3 linked regions of the Rattus norvegicus genome follow. The protein of the gene in region 1 purifies or fractionates together with the protein of each later gene. This does not show direct contact. Links are inferred from orthologs where the notes say so. Each region holds a gene or a part of one and is shown in the gene's direction. Other genes may lie near its edges. The genes, in order: Kif24, Cep97 and Ccp110.

The links.
Region 2: the proteins of Kif24 (region 1) and Cep97 purify together in Homo sapiens (co-immunoprecipitation; 4 studies listed by BioGRID and IntAct, with this or other methods). This does not show direct contact. The link is inferred for Rattus norvegicus from reciprocal best matches to the Homo sapiens genes KIF24 and CEP97.
Region 3: the proteins of Kif24 (region 1) and Ccp110 purify together in Homo sapiens (co-immunoprecipitation; 4 studies listed by BioGRID and IntAct, with this or other methods). This does not show direct contact. The link is inferred for Rattus norvegicus from reciprocal best matches to the Homo sapiens genes KIF24 and CCP110.

The regions. Positions count from the first base shown.
Region 1 is NC_086023.1:61,419,079-61,426,006, reverse strand, and holds the start of Kif24 (kinesin-like protein KIF24), read left to right. Parts: upstream 1-2,124; 5' UTR 2,125-2,262; intron 2,263-6,928. UniProt on the Homo sapiens protein: Microtubule-dependent motor protein that acts as a negative regulator of ciliogenesis by mediating recruitment of CCP110 to mother centriole in cycling cells, leading to restrict nucleation of cilia at centrioles.
Region 2 is NC_086029.1:58,154,236-58,160,709, forward strand, and holds part of Cep97 (centrosomal protein of 97 kDa), read left to right. Parts: intron 1-2,125; coding exon 2,126-2,268; intron 2,269-5,374; coding exon 5,375-5,533; exon of another isoform or gene 5,534-5,537; coding exon of another isoform or gene 5,538-5,552; intron 5,553-6,474. UniProt on the Homo sapiens protein: Acts as a key negative regulator of ciliogenesis in collaboration with CCP110 by capping the mother centriole thereby preventing cilia formation. Required for recruitment of CCP110 to the centrosome.
Region 3 is NC_086019.1:182,477,624-182,484,097, forward strand, and holds part of Ccp110 (centriolar coiled-coil protein of 110 kDa), read left to right. Parts: intron 1-364; exon of another isoform or gene 365-376; 5' UTR 377-517; intron 518-2,350; 5' UTR 2,351-2,364; coding exon 2,365-2,505; intron 2,506-4,285; coding exon 4,286-4,414; intron 4,415-6,474.

The DNA.
Region 1 (6,928 bases):
TGTTACCTGAAAGACACATCATTGCTTGCAAAGTGACTTTAACATCTATTTCTCATTGTTGAGAGTTTAAAATAAAGTGTGTATATACAGAGATACAGAATATACGTCAGTCACTCTTATCTTATAATAAGCCAACTGAATGCTTATCTGCATTTTACAGGCACTCAACTCTTTTTTTTCATATATATATTTTATTTCATATATATATATATTAATGTATGAGTGCTCTGATGCATATATACCTACATGCCAGAAGAGGGCATCAGATCTCATTACAGATGGTTGTGAGCCACCATGTGGTTGCTGGGAATTGAACTCAGGACCTCTGGAAGAGCAGTCAGTGCTCTTAACCACCGAGCTATCTCTCCAGCCCTCAACTCTTATTAATAGTTAAAATTAAGAATTTTGCCCCCTCTGTGTAACAGTCCTGTATATCCTGGAACTTACGTTTTAGACCACGCAGTCCTAAAACTCACAAGAGATCCTCCTGCCTCTGCTCCCGAATGCTGAGACTAAAGGCATGCGCTGCCACACGCAGCAAATCAAGAAATGTCTATCATTTTTATATTTTCTGTGAAACAGCTGATAAACAGCGCTCACGATAATTATTAGTAATTTTTAAAGATCAACAAGATTAATTCCTTTTACTATATTGTCTATTTTCTACTCTTTTGAATTCTGAATTTATTTCTTAGTAAGAATTATCTTTATTCTCTGATTAGTGATTTATTTTTGTTTATGTCTGTGTGTCTGCCAGTTGTGTGTATGTGGGTGCCTGAGGAGAGCCAGGGATCACCTGGAGCAGGAGTCAGAAGCAATTGTGAGCCACTTGACATGGGTGCTGGGAAATGAACTCAAAGTTCTCTGGAAGAGAAGCAAGGGCTCATAACCACTGAACCATCTCTCCAGCCCCCGAATGGTTAATTTTTGAGCTAAAATGAGCACTATGTTAAAGCACACACGAAGCTGCACACATCCTGGCTAGTGTACTTGCTCCCACCATGCTGGTGGTACCTTTTTACCTGAGAAGCTAGGACCTGCCAAGCATTCTTTTCACTTTGTCTTCTTTACAACCTGTTGACGCATTACTATCATTTTTCAGAAAAGCGAAAATGAGCTATGGTTCAGAAATATTTTGGGGTAGTTAATCAAACGCAGGCATGTCCAATTTCTAAGCTTAATCGCCACTGGATATGATGCATTTTGCGTTGGCAACTTGACGGTTCTCGATTTAAGCTGTTTGGCCTTTTTTCCCCCCTTTAGAGCACCTGCCACTCTTCCAAAGGACTGGGGTTCGGTTCCCAGGAACCTAAAGCAGGTGGCTCACAACCGCGTTTAACTCGAATTTCTGGGATCCGACGCCTTCTGGCTTCTGCATGAACGTGGGACGCATAACTGACGCAGACAGACAGACACACACATACACACACAAACAAACAAGGAAAGTTTTTTTGTTTTTTTTGTTTTGTTTTGTTTTGTTTTTTACAAAACGTAAGATCTCTTGGAATGCAGGTAGGGTTTAATCGATAACTACGAAGCAGTACAGAGGCCTAGGGAGAAGGTATGATTGGCCCGCTAAGTCCCAAAGCTGGACCTCTCTGCCTCTGGAATTCTTCCGACGCACGCCATCACCACTAAACCTTGTTCTCTCAGGTGCAGAGAGATAAACCGAGGTCCTGCGAGTGGATAGGGCCTGCCTGGCCTGCCTACACCCGCCTCAATGCCAGCTCCGTTCCCGCAGCAACAGATCAAGAGCACACGACATTCCCCACGCCCCCAGCCCCACTGCACTCACCCGCAGCACGAAGGCAGGAGGCAGGAGGCGGTTCTCGAAAGGAGACAAAGCGCGCCAGCCAATCAGAAGAGCCCGGCTGCACTTCAGGCGAGCCACGGGATTGGGCATCAGGCGCTGCCACCCGCCTCTGAGGCGCGGTTTTCTGACTGGGAACGTCGCGAGATCTTCCCCAAGCGGAACCATTGGACCGCCCCTGTCTCTTCTGATCTCTGATTGGCCCTTTAGAGGAGAGGGTGATAGGCCCTGTGAATGACCATTGGCGGGTTCTGCGGGACCGCAGGCGGGCGGGCGACAGCGCGCGCGTTCGAACTGGCGCTTGGTGGCGTTGCCATAGAGATGTGGCCTGGCGGACTCCTTAGGCGGGTTGACGGGACGCTCTGCTAGCCCGGCTTAGGGCTTTCTCCTGACGGCACTAATTCTTCCGTCCTCCGAGAAACTGACTGAGGAGGAGCCGGGAAGGCCCTGAGGTGAGACACGGTGGCTTTGGCTTGAGCCCAAGCCCTGCGCCTGCGAGGGAAAGGGTGCGCTTGTCTCAGAGTAGCGTGTGTCGAGACCGGTATTTGCCGGGTAACTAGAGCTTGGCTTCTCGGATTCTTCGAGGGTTCACGCACTCTCCTATTTCGTCTCCCCGTCTGCGGTTTCTCCAGCAGTTACCTCGAACGCCACCATTCTTGAGGCCTTTCTGAATCCCCAAAGGCCCCTTGCCTTTGAAACATGCTCTTCAGAGCTAGCCTGAATTCGACTTTGGGTTGTTTTTGTGAACTTCCGGAAACCTCATTCTTCTTTTCCTCATTTAATTTTGACCTCTGAGATAAGACAAGCCTTTCCGCAATGCCTTACGCATAGTAGTTTTTTTTTTTTTTAAAGGAAAGTTCAGTTGGCTTTAACTCACTACGAATAGAATCGATTATCTTTTGTGTCTTGTTCTATTCAAACAATTTGGGAGCAGGTGGAAGAGAGGACACCCTAATCTCATATACAAAAAAGCTAGAAAATTCAGCGTTGGCAGCCCCACAATCGGAGCAGGAAGCCCTGCTTGCTTACTGTGGATGACAGTATTCTCTAGGCTGGGAATTCTGGACAGTAGTAAGAGTAGAGAAGGCGAGCTGACCACTAGCATACTGACATTAATTCATTGTTTACTGCTTTTATTATTTTAATTTTTGTGTGTGGGGTTATTTGTTTGGAGACAAAGTTAGATGTGACTATCCTGGAACTCTATGTTTAGAAAGGTAAAATTGTAACTTGGTTGCTACACCTCTTCCCCACATTGTAGTCTGGCCTAAAAATACCTCTTATCAGACCCCTAAATATATTTGCTTAAAACAGACCATTCTGTTGTTATATGCCAGTGTTATTTAGTGACCTCCAACTATCGTCACATTTTATCTGTGCTTTGGAAAATGAAATCAGTTATTTGACTTTGAGGGTTTTTTTTTTCCACTTAGCATTGTGTGTGTGTGTGTGTGTGTGTGTGTGTGTGTGTGTGTGTGTGAGAGAGAGAGAGAGAGGGGGGGGGGGAGAGAGAGAGAGAGAGAGAGAGAGAGAGAGAGAATATCTCATTCATGAGATTCATGAGCACGCAGCTTGTTTAGGCTGCTGCACTGCATATTCCAGGATATTTCTGTAACCCCCTCCCCCACTTCTCCCTAGGAGTGCTGGGGTTACAGATGTGTGATACCACATGTGACCTTTAATGGGGTTCTAGGCATTGAACTTAGATCATTAGGCTTATAGGTTTTGTGCATTTACCTACCAAGGTATTTCCTTGGCCTTGGCTTTTTTTTTTTTATAAATGTTATGTGTATGAGTGTTTTGCCTGTATTTATGTATACCTTGTGTGTGTGTGGTATGAAGGAAGCCAAAAGAGGGTTGGGTTCCCTGCAAGTGTAGATATAGACAGTTGTGAGACACCATGTGGGTGCTGGGAAAAGAACCCAGGTCCTTTGAAAGAACAGCCAGTGCTCTTAAAGGCTAAGCCATCTCTCCAGCTCCATTTTTTAAAAAAACTTTTTTGGGGATAGCATTTTACATTGTAGGAACATGCAATAATAATCCTGTTTCAGCTTCCTGAGTGCTGGAATTATAAATATAAGCCAACACACTCACTTTGGAAAATTTTTAAAACCTTTTATTATTTGTTTTATTTGTTGTTGTGTGTCTGTGTATGAACAGAGGATGGCTTTTGGGGAGTAGGTTCTCCTTTCCAGATTTATTTGGGTCATCAGACTTGGCAGAAAGTGCCTTTATCTGTTGAGCCCTCTTGCCTGCCTTTAAGACATTTTTTCTTTGCATTTATATTCTGCAGAGACAATTTTGTGACCATTCTCTTCAGAACATATTAACAGCTCAGCCTCTGACCATTCATCAGATATCCAGAATCCTGCTTCATTTCCAAGACTATTTCATTGTTGACTTGTGGCCTGTACAGTCACAATATTATTGCTGATTATTCTTTCTTATATGAAATTCATAGTTCAGAGTTAACATTAATGAAAAGATTCAAAATGTTGCCAGGCAGTAGTGGCTCATGCCTTTAATCCCAGCGCTTGAGAGGCAGAGGCAGGCAGATCTTGGATTTCAAGGCCAACCTGGTCTACAGAGTGAGTTCTAGGACAGCCAGGGATACACAGAGAAACCTTGCCTCAAACAACAAAATGTCAAGTATAGCAGCTGTTGTGATTTAGATATTGTGATGTTTAATGCTAATTGTCAACTTGACAAAACAGAACCACGTGGGAAAAACTGATGTCTGTGGAAGATTGACTTGTATTAACTGAGGTGGGAAGACCTGCTCACTGTGGATGTCCTAGGCAGGGGATTCTGGACAGTCTAAGAGTGGAGAAAGCAAGCTGATCACTACTGTCTTAAGTTAGGGTTTACTGCTGTGAGCAGACACCATGACAAAGGCAACTCTTACAAGGACAGCTGGCTCACAGGTTCAGAGGTTCAGTCCATTATCATCAAGGCAGGAGCATGGCAGCATCCAGGCAGACATGGTGCAGGAGGAGCTGAGAGGTTGGTATTTTGTTTTCTGTATAATGAAGGGTTGAATTTTTCTCATATTTCTTCATCTAGTGTCTATGAGGTATTTACCTAGTTTCTCCATGTAGACTTAGCAAATTTGTTCAAACTTTGTGTACTGTAGGTTAACAAGTTTTGTTAAGTGAGGCTGGGAATGTGGTAGTGCACACCTTTAATCCCAGCACTCTGGAGACAGGCTGGGATTAAAGGTGTGCACTAATAATCTCTGTGTTCAAGGCCAATTTGGCTTATATAGTGAGTTCCAGGCCATTAGGGCTACATAAGACCCTGTGTTAAAACACAAACACACACATAAACTCACTATGTGGACTGGCCTTGAATTTACAGATATCTGCCTACCTGTACCTCTGGACTACTGGGACTAAAGATGTGCACTACCACTCCCGACTGAGGTTATTTTTAAATTATGCTTTCTCAGCATCATCCCTGTGTGAGTAATGCCTGATTCCATAGGAACAACTGTTTCCAAAGGAGTTTGACTATGACTGAAATCATAGTAGCTTGGAAATTTATTTGTTTGTTTATTTTGGCTTTTCAAGACATGTTTCTCTGTTAGCCCTGGCAGTCCTGGAACTTAACATTATAGACCAGGCTTGCCTCAAACATACATTCATCTGCCTCTGCCTCCTGAGTGTGTGCACCACTACTGCCCAGCCAGCTTGGGAATTTATAAAGACTGATTGTAGCCATTATTTTTCTAGGTAAACACATGAGATATGGTTTGTTGACATGGTTTTATGGCTGCAAACTGGCAAAAAAATCTTTAAGTGACAACTTCCTGAGATTGAACTAAACTAAAATTTTAAAAATAAAAATAAACCACTGCATTTAAACCCAACATTGGTTGCTACTTGTCCCTATATTAAACCTTAGTATTTAGAATAGTAGGCCTGTGTTGACTTAAGATGACTGGGTTCAGCAATTTTGTTAGATTTATTTTTAGGTGATTAACATGAAACTAACTTTTTTTAAATTTGCAAACAATCTCAAAGGTCTTTTTTCTTTCTTTCTTTCTTTCTTTCTTTCTTTCTTTCTTTCTTTCTTTCTTTCTTTCTTTCTTTCTTTCTGTTTAAAGTAATATGGCAGTAATAGTGTCCAGAATCCACCACCCCTAACCGTAGGAATTCCATTGAGTACCATCTGTTTTAGTTCTTCTGCAGCTGTTGTTTTAAGCAGTTGTCTCCTGCCCTTTGTCTCTTGTGAAGCTCAGTTACTATAGATAGGATAATCCCTGGAGTTTGAAATAACTAGTTCTCTTGTAGAGAGAAGCATATTCTGTATTGTTTACCTTTTATTTTGCTTCTTGGAATTGGGCATTCTTGTGTGTTCTTAGGGATCTTGTACCTAACCTGAGGTACAGAAATACTTATAAAAAGTGATTGAAAATGTTTGGGTTTGTATTGTAACTGTTTTTGTTGTTTTTAACGTGTGTGTGTGTGTGTGTGTGTGTGTGTGTGTGTGTGTGTGTGTGTGATAAAAACCTTCTAAAATTGAATTGTGATTGATGGTTGTATACTTTTAATATAGTAAGATTTATTAAATTAAATACTCTATATGGGTATTTTATAGTGTGAGAATTCTATGTCAATAAAATTAAGATTTATTGATATCCTAGATGCCTTTGTTGAATGTTTTTCCTTATTTTCTCTTGTATAACTGAAGTATTGGGATGTTGTATGAATTAATAAAACTGAAGAAAAATGTGAATGTCTTTGAACTGGGCTATTTTCATCCATTTTTCTGGCTGGTAAAGAATGTTATATAGATCTTAGATTTCTTTATAGTGATTAAAGAAACAACAAATGACCTTGATACATACAACAAGGTAACATTAGAGCCTGATACTTATATTTTGTAATTCTGATATTTATTCTAGGGTTTTTGGTACTTACTGACTTGTCCCTACCTAAAGGCCGATAAAACTCTTAGCAAAAATCCCTCTGTTCCTGGGATAGCTTTGTATATAGATGATCTTTCCTGAGTCATTAAGTCATTTCACAAACTTGTTAAATTTGTTTTTTTTTTTAGATTGACATGTTTCATTGATATAAATGCTCAGAAATTTCCTCTTTTTCACTAGCAGCTGTC
Region 2 (6,474 bases), on another chromosome or scaffold:
CTGACTGTCATCTATGTCTAGTGGAGTAGAAAAGTTACCCCAGAGGAAATGGAGGGGGAGAGGCTAAGAGAGTGACCATTGAGGCTAAGAGAGTGACTTAGAGGAAAGACGTGGGTGGACACATCGGGGAGGCAGTCAGCCTTTAGGAGAGGGGTCTCAGTTACCAAACCTGCCAACCCCTTAATTTGGGGGACTTTCGGAGAAGGAAATAAATGAGAAAAAGAGAAGGAAACTTGTCCATAGTGGTTAGCCAGGGGAGCTATAGTCTGAATTTGTGCTATAGGTGTTTTATTGAGCGCTGCCTGCAACCTTGTGAAATCAAAATCATTTTATTCCATCAATTAACTATACTGTGATTTTCAAAAGTACTTCAAAGTGGCGGGGAGATAGTTTAGTTGGCACAGTGCTCGCTGTACAAGCACGAGGAACCAAGTTCAATCCTCAAACCCAGGTAAAAGACCCAACGTGGTGGCAGGAGCTTATAATCTCAAGTGCTGGGAAGGTGAGTATAGGCAGATTCTTGGGACTTGTTGGCCAACCAGCCTACTCTACTTATGAGCTCCAGGTCAGTGAGAGACCCTGCCTCAAAAAACAAAGTGAGGGCTGTAGAGACGGCTCAGTGGGTAAGAGCGGTTACAGGGACAGCATTCAGACTGGAGTTCAAACCCCCAGAATCCATGGGAAAAGCCCCAGCACCTAGTACTTTGGAGGCTTGCTGACTTCCAGTCTAGCACTAGGCTTTCAGGTTCAGTGAGAGAGTGTGTAAAGAAAGATTTACAGAACAGGACACCCAGCATTCTCCTCTGGCTTCCCTGGGCATGTGTGACATGCACTGACCCCAGTCCCCATATACACAGTGTTGGGCTCTTGAAAATATAGTTAGGTTATAAACATTTTGATTTCTATAAAAAAAAAAGTTTTAGGACCTGGTGCGATGATAGCTTTAATTCCAGTATTTGGGAGTTGAGGGAAAGAAGATCAGGAGTTCAAATTTAGCCTTGGATACATAGAGAGTTTATGCTAGCCTCGCCAGCATCAGACCTTGTCTGAAAACAACAGCAAAAGATAAAACAAAACAAAACAAAAACCCCAAACAACAACAACCAAAACCAATCCAAAACAAAAGATTGAAAGATTAAAAAAAGGGGGAAATAAGCCTTGAGGTGGTGGCACCCGCTTTTGTTATGCCCAGTTCTTGAGAACCCCAGGAGACCGCCAGAGATCAGGACACCACCCATGTAAACACACAAGAGTTCAAAATTGGGATGCAACCTTCCCTGCTTGGCAGGTTAGGAATGGGACGCCCAGGTTTGGGGTTTATATATGGGAAATGCATAGGCTGGGGCTTTCAAGAGGGTGAGGGCTAAAGGAATGCTATCCTTTCAAACTGATAACGTTTGTTCAGACAGCAAGAAGGGACCATACATCTGGAAAAGGACTTTTCTGACGTGGGAAGAAATGATTCATTTCATTATCAGTGACCAGTGTATTTTTACAAGCTGGCTACAGCTTGTCTGGGAGCCCTTGGTTGTCTTTCCCATAGATTAAGAGTGGAGGTCTTATCACTTTAAGGGCATTAATTTTCTGCCTCCTTCAAAGACAGGAGACATCTGCACCAGGGGATTGTGCTGGTTGTTTAAGTCGGTGCTGGGAACTCAGTGCAGAGGCAAGAGTGAGCTGCCGTTTGTCTCTTCACTTTAGTCCCAGCACTAGGGAGAGAGCTGGCAGATCTCTAAGTTTGAGGCCAGCCTGGTCTACAGAACGAGTTCCAGGACAAACAGTGAAACTCCTAGAAACCCTGTCTCAGAAAATTAAAATAAATCCCAGAAAAAAACCCAGAAATCAAAACACCAAATACCTCAAAAGAAACATCAATCCTGTTTTCTGAATGCTTATTATTAAATACTAGAGTGCACTTAGGGCTTGCATGCAAAGGCTCCCAGTAATTCATAAATTTGAAAAAAAAATGTGGCATTAGAGCTCTGGATTATTGTACGTTTAAACTTTTGATACTTCTTGTGCTGTGGTGTAGTTTTAAATGTGTTTACATGTTTTTCCCCTCAGTGTGAAATGCTAAGCTCAGTCCTCAGATTTGCTTTCTAACAAGATGTTTTCTCTTTTCAAGGATCAGTGGTAAACTGGTCAGGGCAGGGACTGCAGAAATTAGGGGCCAACTTGCCCTGTGATGCTGATGTTCACACATTGATTCTGGATAAAAATCAGATTATAAAACTGGAAAATCTGGAGAAATGCAAACAGTTAATACAGGTGAGTATGGGTTATATAAGACTCATTTATTTCTAAACAAATCCAAAAAGTCACACTCTACATGCCTGGAAAGCAGTAAGTGTCGCCTTCAAGTTTTGTATGCTAGCTTCTGAAGGTGAATACATGTGTTACACTTACAATGGACTAGAAAGAGAAGCATTATTAAAAAATGAAAACAGGGCTGGCAAGACAGCTCAGCAGGGGGGCTGGAGAGATGGCTCAGTGGTTAAGAGTACTGACTGCTCTTCCAGAGGTCCTGAGTTCAATTCCCAACAACCACATGGTGGCTCACAGCCATCTGTAATGAGACCTGATGCCCTCTTCTGGTGTGTCTGAAGACAGCTACAGTGTACTTATATATAATAAATAAATAAATCTTAAAAAAAAAAAAAGACACCTCAGCAGGTAGGAGTGCTTATGTAAAGGTCTGAAGACCTAGGTTTGCTCCCTGCCACAGGTAGGAGAGAACTGACCGACTTTTGAGACGATGCCTGTGATGTTTGCATGTGTGCTCTTGCAAATGTCTGTGCATGCATGCGTCTGCATGCTCTTGCTCTCTGTACACATATTTTAAATTTCTTATTTATTTCACTCTTTATAGCTGTATCTTTCTGTATATCTGTATGAATATATGCAACATGAGTATGAGTACATGCAGAGGCCAGAAGAGGAGATCAGATTCTTTGGAGTTGGAGTTAACTACAGATGGTTGTGAGGCACCTGACTTGGTGCTAAGAACTAAACTGATATTCTGGAAGAGCAGCATTTATGTTTGTTTTTTTATTGATTTATTCATTTATTTATTATATATAAGTACACTATAACTGTCTTCAGACACACCAGAAGAGGGCATCAGATCTCATTTTCTACAGATGGTTGTAGAAACCGTGTGGTTGCTGGCATTTGAACTCAGGACCTCTGGAAGAGCAGGCAGTGCTCTTAACCACTGAGCCATCTCTCCAGCCCCACACTTATGTTCTTAACTGCTGAGCCATTCTTCTATTCCCATAAATAAATACATATTTTTTAATATTTATTTATTTTATGTATATGAGTACACTGTAGCTGTATTCAGACACCAGAAGAGGGCATCAGATTTCATTACAGATGGCTGTGAGCCACCATATGGTTGTTGGGAATTGAACTCAGGACCTCTGGAAGAGCAGTCAGTGATCTTAACTGCTGAGCCATCTCTCCAGCCCCATAAATACATATTTTTAAAAGGCACATTATATGTTGATAAAATACTGTGTTAAGGGGTTGGGAATTTAGCTCAGTGGTAGAGTGCTTACCTAGCAACCGCAAGGCCCTGGGTTCGGTCTCCAGCTCCAAAAAAAAAAAAGAAAGAAAGAAAGAAAGAAAGAAACAAACAAACAAAATACTGTGTTAACCTAATTTTAACGTCATATTGGGGTAAAGAGTTTATTCATCCAGGAATGTTGGGCTTGAGGATATACTTGAAGGCCAAGGCTTAGCATACTCAAAGCCCTAAACTACACCTAAACAGAACAAAGGAAAAGGGAGTGCTTATTTGGTTCCTTTTAGTATACCTATCATAGTCCTTGTTTGTGACTGAAATGGTATGACGATAGTATTCATAGAGCTAATATTTTCGAGTTGAATAAAAGATAAGATAAAGAGTATCTTTAGGAGACAGCTCAGTGGGTAAGAACACTGGCTCTGCAAACACACAGCCTTGAATTTGGATCCCCAGCACCCACACTAAAAGCTGGGCACCGATGCATGTAGTATACATTTAACCTGGTCATTGGAGGGGAGAGGCAGGCAGATCCTCAGAGCTGGCTGGCCAGCCAATTTAGCCAAAATGATGAGCCTGCAGTTCAGTAGAGAGTCTGTCTCAAAGCAATAAGGTGGAGAGGGACAGAGGAAGATACCCAAAGTCCTGCTCTAGCCTGTGTATGTATATAGATGGGCATGTGCACCCCCCATACACAAGAATGCAACACATAAACATATACACACACGCATGCAATGACCCCAACATACACCATCCACACACAAGTATCATTAAAAATTGGCAACAGACTTATTAAGCTTTATCTGTATTTTTGAAATATATAAGCATACATTGATTGTGTATGATACTGCGTTTCATTTGTCTGGATATGTATATACATATATTTTTATCATTTTCATCACATTACCCTCTCTTGATTTCTTCCACTCCTTCTAATCCCATTTCTCTTCTCTTCTCTCTTGTTTTTCCGTGTCTTCTTTTTCTCCTCCTCTTTCTTCTCCTTCTCTCCCACCTCTCTTTTTGTGACCAAGTGAATTTCATGAGGAACATGAGTGAGAATCCATTTACGGGAACGTAGACACCTCACCATGGCTACACCCCTTGAAGAAAGTGTCTTTCCCTTCTCTGTCAGCCACTGTCTGTTATTCCTCAGTGATTAATCCTTGGAAGGCATGGCCTTCCAGGCTCCTCTCCACACCTCCAGCTTGTTGAGGAGCTCAGTCTTACGTGCTGCTTTGAGTTCCAGAGTACAGCAGCCATGTGATACTCAGAAAGCACTATCTGTTCCCCGCTTTCCTCCTGCCCTTACATTCTTTCTAACCTTCCACTGCCCTCCTCAATGTTATAGATGTCCCGTTTATGGCTGTGCATTTTAACAGATATTTGTTTCCAGCACTGAGACCAGTTATGAGTCTCTGCAGACACCACCAACTATTGCAAAAGAAGCTTCTCTGAAAACAGCTGACGGCCGCATTGTTCTGTGGGTGTTTATGCAGTCAGTTAGGAGTCTGATTGATAGGTACATTCTGTCCATTAGCAAAAGCCATCAGTAGCTTCTAGGGCTATGCCATCCCCTGCCATGGGCTTTTGACTGGGTTTATATGACCACACATGAATTTCTTGTGGTCAGGCATTAGTTGGTTACCCCATATAACAACAGATATAAATTTATCTATACTTTTGTTGATTAGAACAATAGACTCCAGTAGTTAAGCTGTAGGTGATAGATATGTATACTATGTGTAAACTATAAGTTAGGTTTGTGTATTTGGGAATGTTTGACCATCTACCAGGATGTGTGGAGATATAGATTTTGTTTCTAGGAATAATAATGTTCTCCTTTCACAGTTGTCAGTGGCTAATAATCGCTTGGTTCGGATGATGGGTGTGGCCAAGCTGACTCAACTCCGAGTGTTAAATTTACCTCATAATAGTATTGGCTGCATGGAAGGGCTGAAGGACCTCGTCCATTTGGAGTGGCTGAATTTAGCGGGCAATAATCTGAAGGTGAATGGCTTTCTTCTTGGTAATTATCTTTTGAGATTTTTGTTGTTGCTGTTGTCGTTTTCTGTACATGTTCTCTGGGAAAAAGAAACTTGGCAAGTATAGAAATAAGTAAACTAAAAAGTGAAAGTGTCTACTTCTATAATTGGTATCAACACACACCTTCAAAAGAATCTATATCGTACTCGAAAAAGTAAATAAAATACTAGAATGATGGGGAAGGAGTTACCCGCCACCCCAGCCAAACTTTTAAGTACATTTTTAATGATGAATGGGAAAAAGGTCTGCCACCCAGGAACTGTGTAATTTTGTTTCTTTTTTTGACATTTATTTATTTATTTTAATTTATATGAGTACACTGTAGCTGTTCTCAGACACACCAGAAGAGGGCATAGGATCCCATTACAGATGGTTATGAGCCACCACATGGTTGCTGGGAATTGAACTCAGGTCTCCTGGAAGAGCAGTCAGTGCTCTTAACCACGGAGTCATCACTCCAGCCCTGTAATTTTGGATGTTAATAACCATTGCTATATCTTATTTTCTGGGAAGGGGACTAGAGGGAGTTATAATAATAGTTGCCTTTACTGAGCACCTGCCTTGTGCTATGAACTTTTCTAATCACCTCATCTGTAGTGAGCTCATGCCAGCCAGTGAAGTAGGTATAGTTACTATGCTTATTATACAGGAAGGGGAACTGAGGCCAGAGAAATTAATAACCTATCCCAGCTCATACATCTAAGAAGTTGTAGAGCCCAAAATTTAAAAAAAAAAATCATTCTTAGAGAATTTCATATGATTTAGAGCATATTTTGATCATATTTATCTACCATTCTTTCCCTAAATCTTTTCACTTCTGTCCTCAACTCCTTACCCAACTTGATGTTGTCTTTTTCATTTTAAAACGAACCAACTGAGTCTAATTTATACTGCGCATGTTCCTG
Region 3 (6,474 bases), on another chromosome or scaffold:
AAAGGTCACTTGTAATTAGCTTTAAATGGAGTGGAAAAGGCATGCTTGGACCTGCTGAGGCTGGTATGAATGTAAGTGGACCATGGACCAGTAATGCCTGATGCTAAAGTATGGGGCAGTAGGTTTGTAGTTGGGATCACCTTGTCATCAAGGCTCCCTTAAAATAAACTTGGTGTGAGAAACGTAGTGCCCTCTTGCACAATCGTAGAATCCGGACTCTCTTTAATGACTACTTTTGCAACTGAGAGGTCCCTGGTTCTTTGGGAATAGAGCTGTTCTCCAAGTTGCCAGTCTCGGAATTCTCTTCATTCTGCTAGTCTTGCTTTGCATTGCTTGATCTGTTTGCCCTAATTAATTTATTCAGTAATTGTATTAGGCGCCTGCTGTGTGCTGACACCATTCTGTGCCATGGGACTCAGTGAGCAAGACTGAGAAGGACCTGTTCTATGGAGCTTACGCTTCGGTGGGAGAAGACACACAAAACTCACGGCAGTACAGGAGGCCATTTCAGATAGTGGTAAGTACTGTGGAAACTGGGAAATGTCAGAGGGGTATGATAGTGATGCAGGCGGGGGAATTAGGATGGGGTGATTAGAGAGCGCCTCTTTGAGGACAGGACATGTAAGCTGAAACTTAAGGCTAGGAAGATCCAGTCATGCTCTAGACCATCTGGAGCTTTCTCCAGTCTCACATGAGCACCGGAGTTTCAATGTCCAGTTCATTGTCGTGCTGTGCGTTACCTCTGTTGTGGACTTTGCAGTGTCTAGCGGTATGCGTGGCCCGCTCAAGTGAAGCGGATAATTTCCTGCAACAATGAGACCTTTCTCTACGATGCTGTTAGAAGAAAAGTAGAACTAATGAAGGCAGTTTATGGCCTTTTCTCTCCCAGACTTTTGAGTTTCTTTCTTTTTTGTGCACAAGCACAGAAATTATATAACATCATTTTTAATAGTAAATACAAAAGATGTATTTTTTTTCTTTCTTTTCTTTTTGTTTTCGGAGCTGGGGACCGAACCCAGGGCCTTGTGCTTGCTAGGCAAGCGCTCTACCACTGAGCTAAACCCCCAACCCCAAGATGTATTTTTAAAAAGTAGCAGAAATGGATTTATTGAGATTTTTCTTCTCATCTTTTGGCAATTTTGGTTAAGATACTGTGATGTGAGTTGTTACAGTTGTGCCAGAAAGTGTTTTGTTGCTTCTTAGTCTTGTGTTTAAAAAGTGAATGTCAGCTTCAAAACGATCTCAGCTCTGGAGAGAACCAGTTATTTATTTATTTATTTTTTTAAAGATTTATTTATTTTAGTTACATGAGTACTCTGTAGCTATCTTCAGACACATCAGAAGAGGGCATCGGATCCAATTACAGATGGCTGTGAGCCACCATGTGGTTGCTGGGAATTGAACTCAGGACCTCTGGAAGAGCAGTCAGTGCTCTTAACCGCTGAGCCATCTCTCCAGCCCTTTTTTAATTTTTTTTTTTTTTCCGGAGCTGGGGACCGAACCCAGGGCCTTGTGCTTGCTAGTCAAGTGCTCTACCGCTGAGCTAAATCCCCAACCCCCAGAACCAGTTATTTTTTGAAGTTGGATCTTACTGTGCACAAATTGAACAAATATAAGCCACAGAACAGAGAGAAGTTCTGTGGCTCAGCACTGAGGGCTCTTTCTTCATTTCTATCTGTACTTTGGCTTTCCCTTGAAATTTGAATTTATGGATTGTATAACTGTCTTAGAGGCCCAGCAGGCCACCATGTCAGGCCACCATGTCTTATTTCATGTCTGTACAGCTCACCCACATCGTGGGCTTAATTTCCCTCTTCAGTCTTGTTAACTAGTTACTTGCCTTGAATATTTAAGGGATGTTACTGTACTGGACGCTCTCTTCCCACAGTTAACTGGGCCCCTGGCTTGCTATGATTATGATAATGTTCCTTTTGCTATTTTCCCTTGTCTTACAGGAGCAAGGGCTGTACAATGTTATGCAAAACAGGCAATCAGTAAATACTTAGCACATGCTAAAAAGAAGGCTTAGGCTGGCTAATCTTTCTGGTTACCTGGAATTTTCATAATCCCAAAGTTTTCTAGAAATTATGAAATTGCTGGGCTGGTTGTTTGAAGTTGCTTAGTGACCTTTCAGGCTTTCGACTATAAAATAAAGCTAATTAAGAAGATCTCCAGAACTGGGAGATTTTCTGTTTTCACGTCTGCCTAAGTCAGCTGGTATCCACAGCATTAAAACAAAGCCTTCAGATGCAGACAGAAAATTCTTGAAAGTGTTTAAATATTCCAGTACTCTTGGGTAATAACTTGTGTTTTGTCAGCACACTACTAAGAGCAGTTTTCTTTCTCCTAGTGTGTGGTGGGAACATGGAGGAATATGAGAAGTTCTGCGAGAAAGCGCTTGCCCGAGCTCAGGAAGCATCACTGTCCACAGACAGCTTCCTGCCCGCCCAGGCAGAAAGTGTCTCACTCATCCGTTTCCATGGGGTGGCTGTACTTTCTCCACTGGTAAACTTAGTAATTATTTATGAAATATTTCTTCCATTCTTAATCATGTGTACACATGGGTATAGGTGCTGGAAGAGGCTACACGAGTGCTTCAGACCCCCTGGAACTGGAGTAACAGACCACAGAGGAGCTTTGAACTAAGCTTTGGTCCTCTGGAGAGCACTATACTTGAAACTGGAGTCATTTTTCCAGCTCCCTTGTTTGTTTTAAAATAACTTTTAAAATCTAGTGAACAACTAATACAGCTCACTTAAGATCAAATGGAAGATTTATAAGCAACTGATGAGATGCCTGATGTTTTTCATAATTAGAAATACAATAGAAACGAGTTAGCATTTTTTTGCCTACTAGATTTGCAACGGTCTCCTAGGACTTTGTGTTTTCATGTTGTGAGGAAAATGAATGTTTAATGTACTTTTATCAAGAAGGTCTGTTTATTTTTTGGCAAGCTGTTTGGTAGTGTTCATCAAAATTTAAGTGTTTGTAACTCTTGACTCAGCAATTCTATTCAGGAAGAATAGCTTACAAATGTGTTCAAATAAATGTGTGTAAGTTATAGCATCATCACTTAAAGTAGCAAATGATTAGTGGGTGTGCTGCCTTTAATTTTAGCACTTGGGAGGCAGATCTCTGTGAGTTTGAGGCCAGCCTGGTTTACAAAGTGAGTTCCAGGACAGCCAGGGCTGTTACACAGAGAAACCCTGTCTGGAAAACAAAAAAGAAAATATAATAGTAAAAGAGATGAATTACCAACCCAAGTGTCCATTAATAATGGACTTTAGCTATGTCCATTGTACACATTTCATGTACCCATGCAAGTGAATAAGGTAGCTCTATAGTACGAGCATGGAAGGCTGCCCTGCCCTGCCTCACATCACACAGTGAGATTTCAGAGGCAGCTGGGAGTGTGGAACCTCGGCCTGGCTTTCAGTCAGTTTGCCGTTGTCCTGCTGTGCAGAGCTTGTGGTCTGTTTCGTTAACTGTTAGAATGGAATGCAGACAGTGAGTGTCGATAATGCTTAGATTGCTTTTCAGGAATTACACGGATAATGTAAGATGCTTAGGCTCGTGCCTGGGTCATAGGTGGCACTCGGGGTATACACATGTTCACCATTTACAGTTTTTAAAAGAGAGTGGTATTGTTCTGGCAAGGGGTAAGAGAATAGAGGACAGTAGAGAAGATACATTTATCATCATACTCAATTTGATGTTATTTTTTAAGTGTGACTATATTTTAAACCAGAAAGTTAGAGAACTCTTAAATTTATTTTTGTTGTGTAAGCATTAAAAGGTCCACGTTTTCTGCCAGCACATTGTAATGAATGTTGTAGCAGTGTTTGGAAGGTAACACAGTACCACCCATCCCCCACCACTCAGTTCACTCTAAGGTGACATCTTTGGACACATCCTAAAGGATGTAGAGAAGTGACGTGTAGTGATAAAGATAGAAGCTGGAGACTGGGGTGAGGCTCACGTTAACCACTATCAGGTAAAAACTTCAGTAGCAGCAGCTCCTGAAGTCCTTTTGTCTGCCATTTAGTATTTGAGACATGACCTTGATGCAGTTGGCAGTGAGCTAGATTCAGTGATATGCAATGGTCATGTGTGATAGCTCCTGGAATCTTCATAATAGGTTACTTCTGCATGACACTCACTCACATGGAGTCCTCGAACCCCAGACACTGCTCAGATTCTTCATACACGGTTTTGGTTGTTCTGATTAAAAACTGGCCAATTTTATTCTTTTACCATTGAATTGCGTGTTTATGGTGTCTTGCAGCTTACCATTGAGAAGAGAGAGAAAATTCAACAGGAAAAGCAGAAAGCACTTGATGTGCAAACAAGAAAGCAGGCCAATAGGAAGAAAGCCTTACTGACGCGTGTCCAGGAAATTCTTGAAAATGTTCAGGTGTGTCATCAAACTAAACTCTTCTAGATTGAAATGATGATATCAGAAGTAAACACTGATAACAGCTTTGCAGAAAAGCTGGCTACGTGTGCTTATTGTTATGATGTGTTTGAGTATAATTTGTTGGAGAGAATCCATTTGTTTGCTAGTACTGCCCAGTACTTGAATCAGAGAGGGTCCTTAGACAGTAGCACTATACACTGGATATAATTGCTTATTGTCTGCCTCGTGACTACAAACTGAATTCTCAGTGTCAGAGATGATAGAATTGTCCATTGTAGTTAACCCCTGAACTAATCAGACTCAGTTTCTGATGTGAGCCTCATCCCAGCCTCCAGCTTCTACCCTCATCACTACATGTCACTTCTCTACATCCTTTAGGATGTGTCCAAAGATGTCACCTTAGAGTGGACTGAGTGGTGAGGGATGGGTGGTACTGTGTTACCGTCTTCTTATTCTCTGCTAAAGTAAATAACTGCCTTCAAATGTGTGTATGTATGTATGTATGTGTGTATACATGTATGAAAATTTTGTTTTTAGGTGTTGAAAAATGCCATCTAGATTAAACAAAGAGGCTGGACTACATAGGTCTCCAGATTGAAACTGAAATCATTTAAACAACTATATCTATACCTTTTGTAATCATTTTATTTAAATTAATTCAGATTTGTGTAAACAGTTTGTTTATGGTTTGGGTCATTTCATACTAAAAAGAAACACCAATGGTTTAAGTGGGAAAAATAATTTCTGCCATGCATAACACTTGTGCTTTTTTGTAATTTGAAGGGCTTGTAGTTTGCCTGTGTGACTCCTGCTGTGTGGCTATGGGTAGTAAGCCTTAGGGTATTTGTAGTAACTGCTGCCTTCATTTACCTGTAGGGTCTTATGTAGTGTGGGTGTAGATTTTAATTTGCACATTTTAACTAATGTCTATATTGGTTAATACACCGTAGTTTATTGACTTACTGGTTACTACAACAAAAATGGCAGTGTTCTGGATCTAGTCCATGGAGAGGATCAAATTGCTATTAGCAGAGTCTACTAATGAAATTACTCTTGAGTCTCAGAACTTTCTGTTTAGGAAAGCATACATAATTCAGCTATAAGAATTCCTTATATAGACAGGGATTTCATGGACTACAGATATTTAGAGGGCCTCTTTCCTCTATGATATCTTTGACTCAGTTATAGACTTAAGTTTTTAAATTTAGTTTGTCTAACCGAAGGCACATTTTACTTGTGTACTACAAACATAGCTATTGAGTATTAAAGATGTGAATATGTAAGATTCTACAGCAGAATGATCTAGATCGCTTAAGCCTGGGAGCATGTCCATGGACCCTAGGAGTATGCACTCCTTTTGGCTTATTTTCATCCAGAGGTTGTCACCAAGTACACTTGTATTGTTTATGGCACAGTACCTGGAGACCATTATGTGCCTTGGGACTTATATGGTGAAACTCAAGTGCCATATAGTCTAGCAAAACAAAACAAAACAAAGCAAAAGCCTATGAAAACAACCCCTCCAGATGTTTTGTATTCAGGATGTAATGAGCTCTCACTTTTTCCTGCTCGGTCTCTGAGGCACACAGGTATTCTCACCCTACTGTGTCAGCTGCTGACCTACTTGTCTGAAAACATACAGCTTGCTGTCTTAACTGACTCTCACTGCTCTGATTAAAGTTGGCTTTGTAAGCTGAGTTCTAAGTTGAAATTTTCTAATTTTTAGTAACATAAACCACAGGAAGAACTATTGTTTACTCCAGAAATGCCCCGTCTTATGGGGAGGATTGTTTTTAAGTCAGCACATTTTCTTTTTCCAGTTGGTAGACACAGAGGGTTCACAGAAAGATCCTCTGCAAAGTAGAGACAAGGTGGTCGTCTCAGGGAGCTATAGCTCTTCAAAGATTTTTGTTTGTTTGTTTTGATTTGTTTTTGAGTCGGGGTAGCCTTGGTTGCCCTTGAATTTATAGAATTCTAACTGCTGCCTCTGCCTGGAGTTCTGGAATTAAAGGTGTGTCTACTACACCCAGCTAAAACTTTAAAAAGGTCTCAATTTT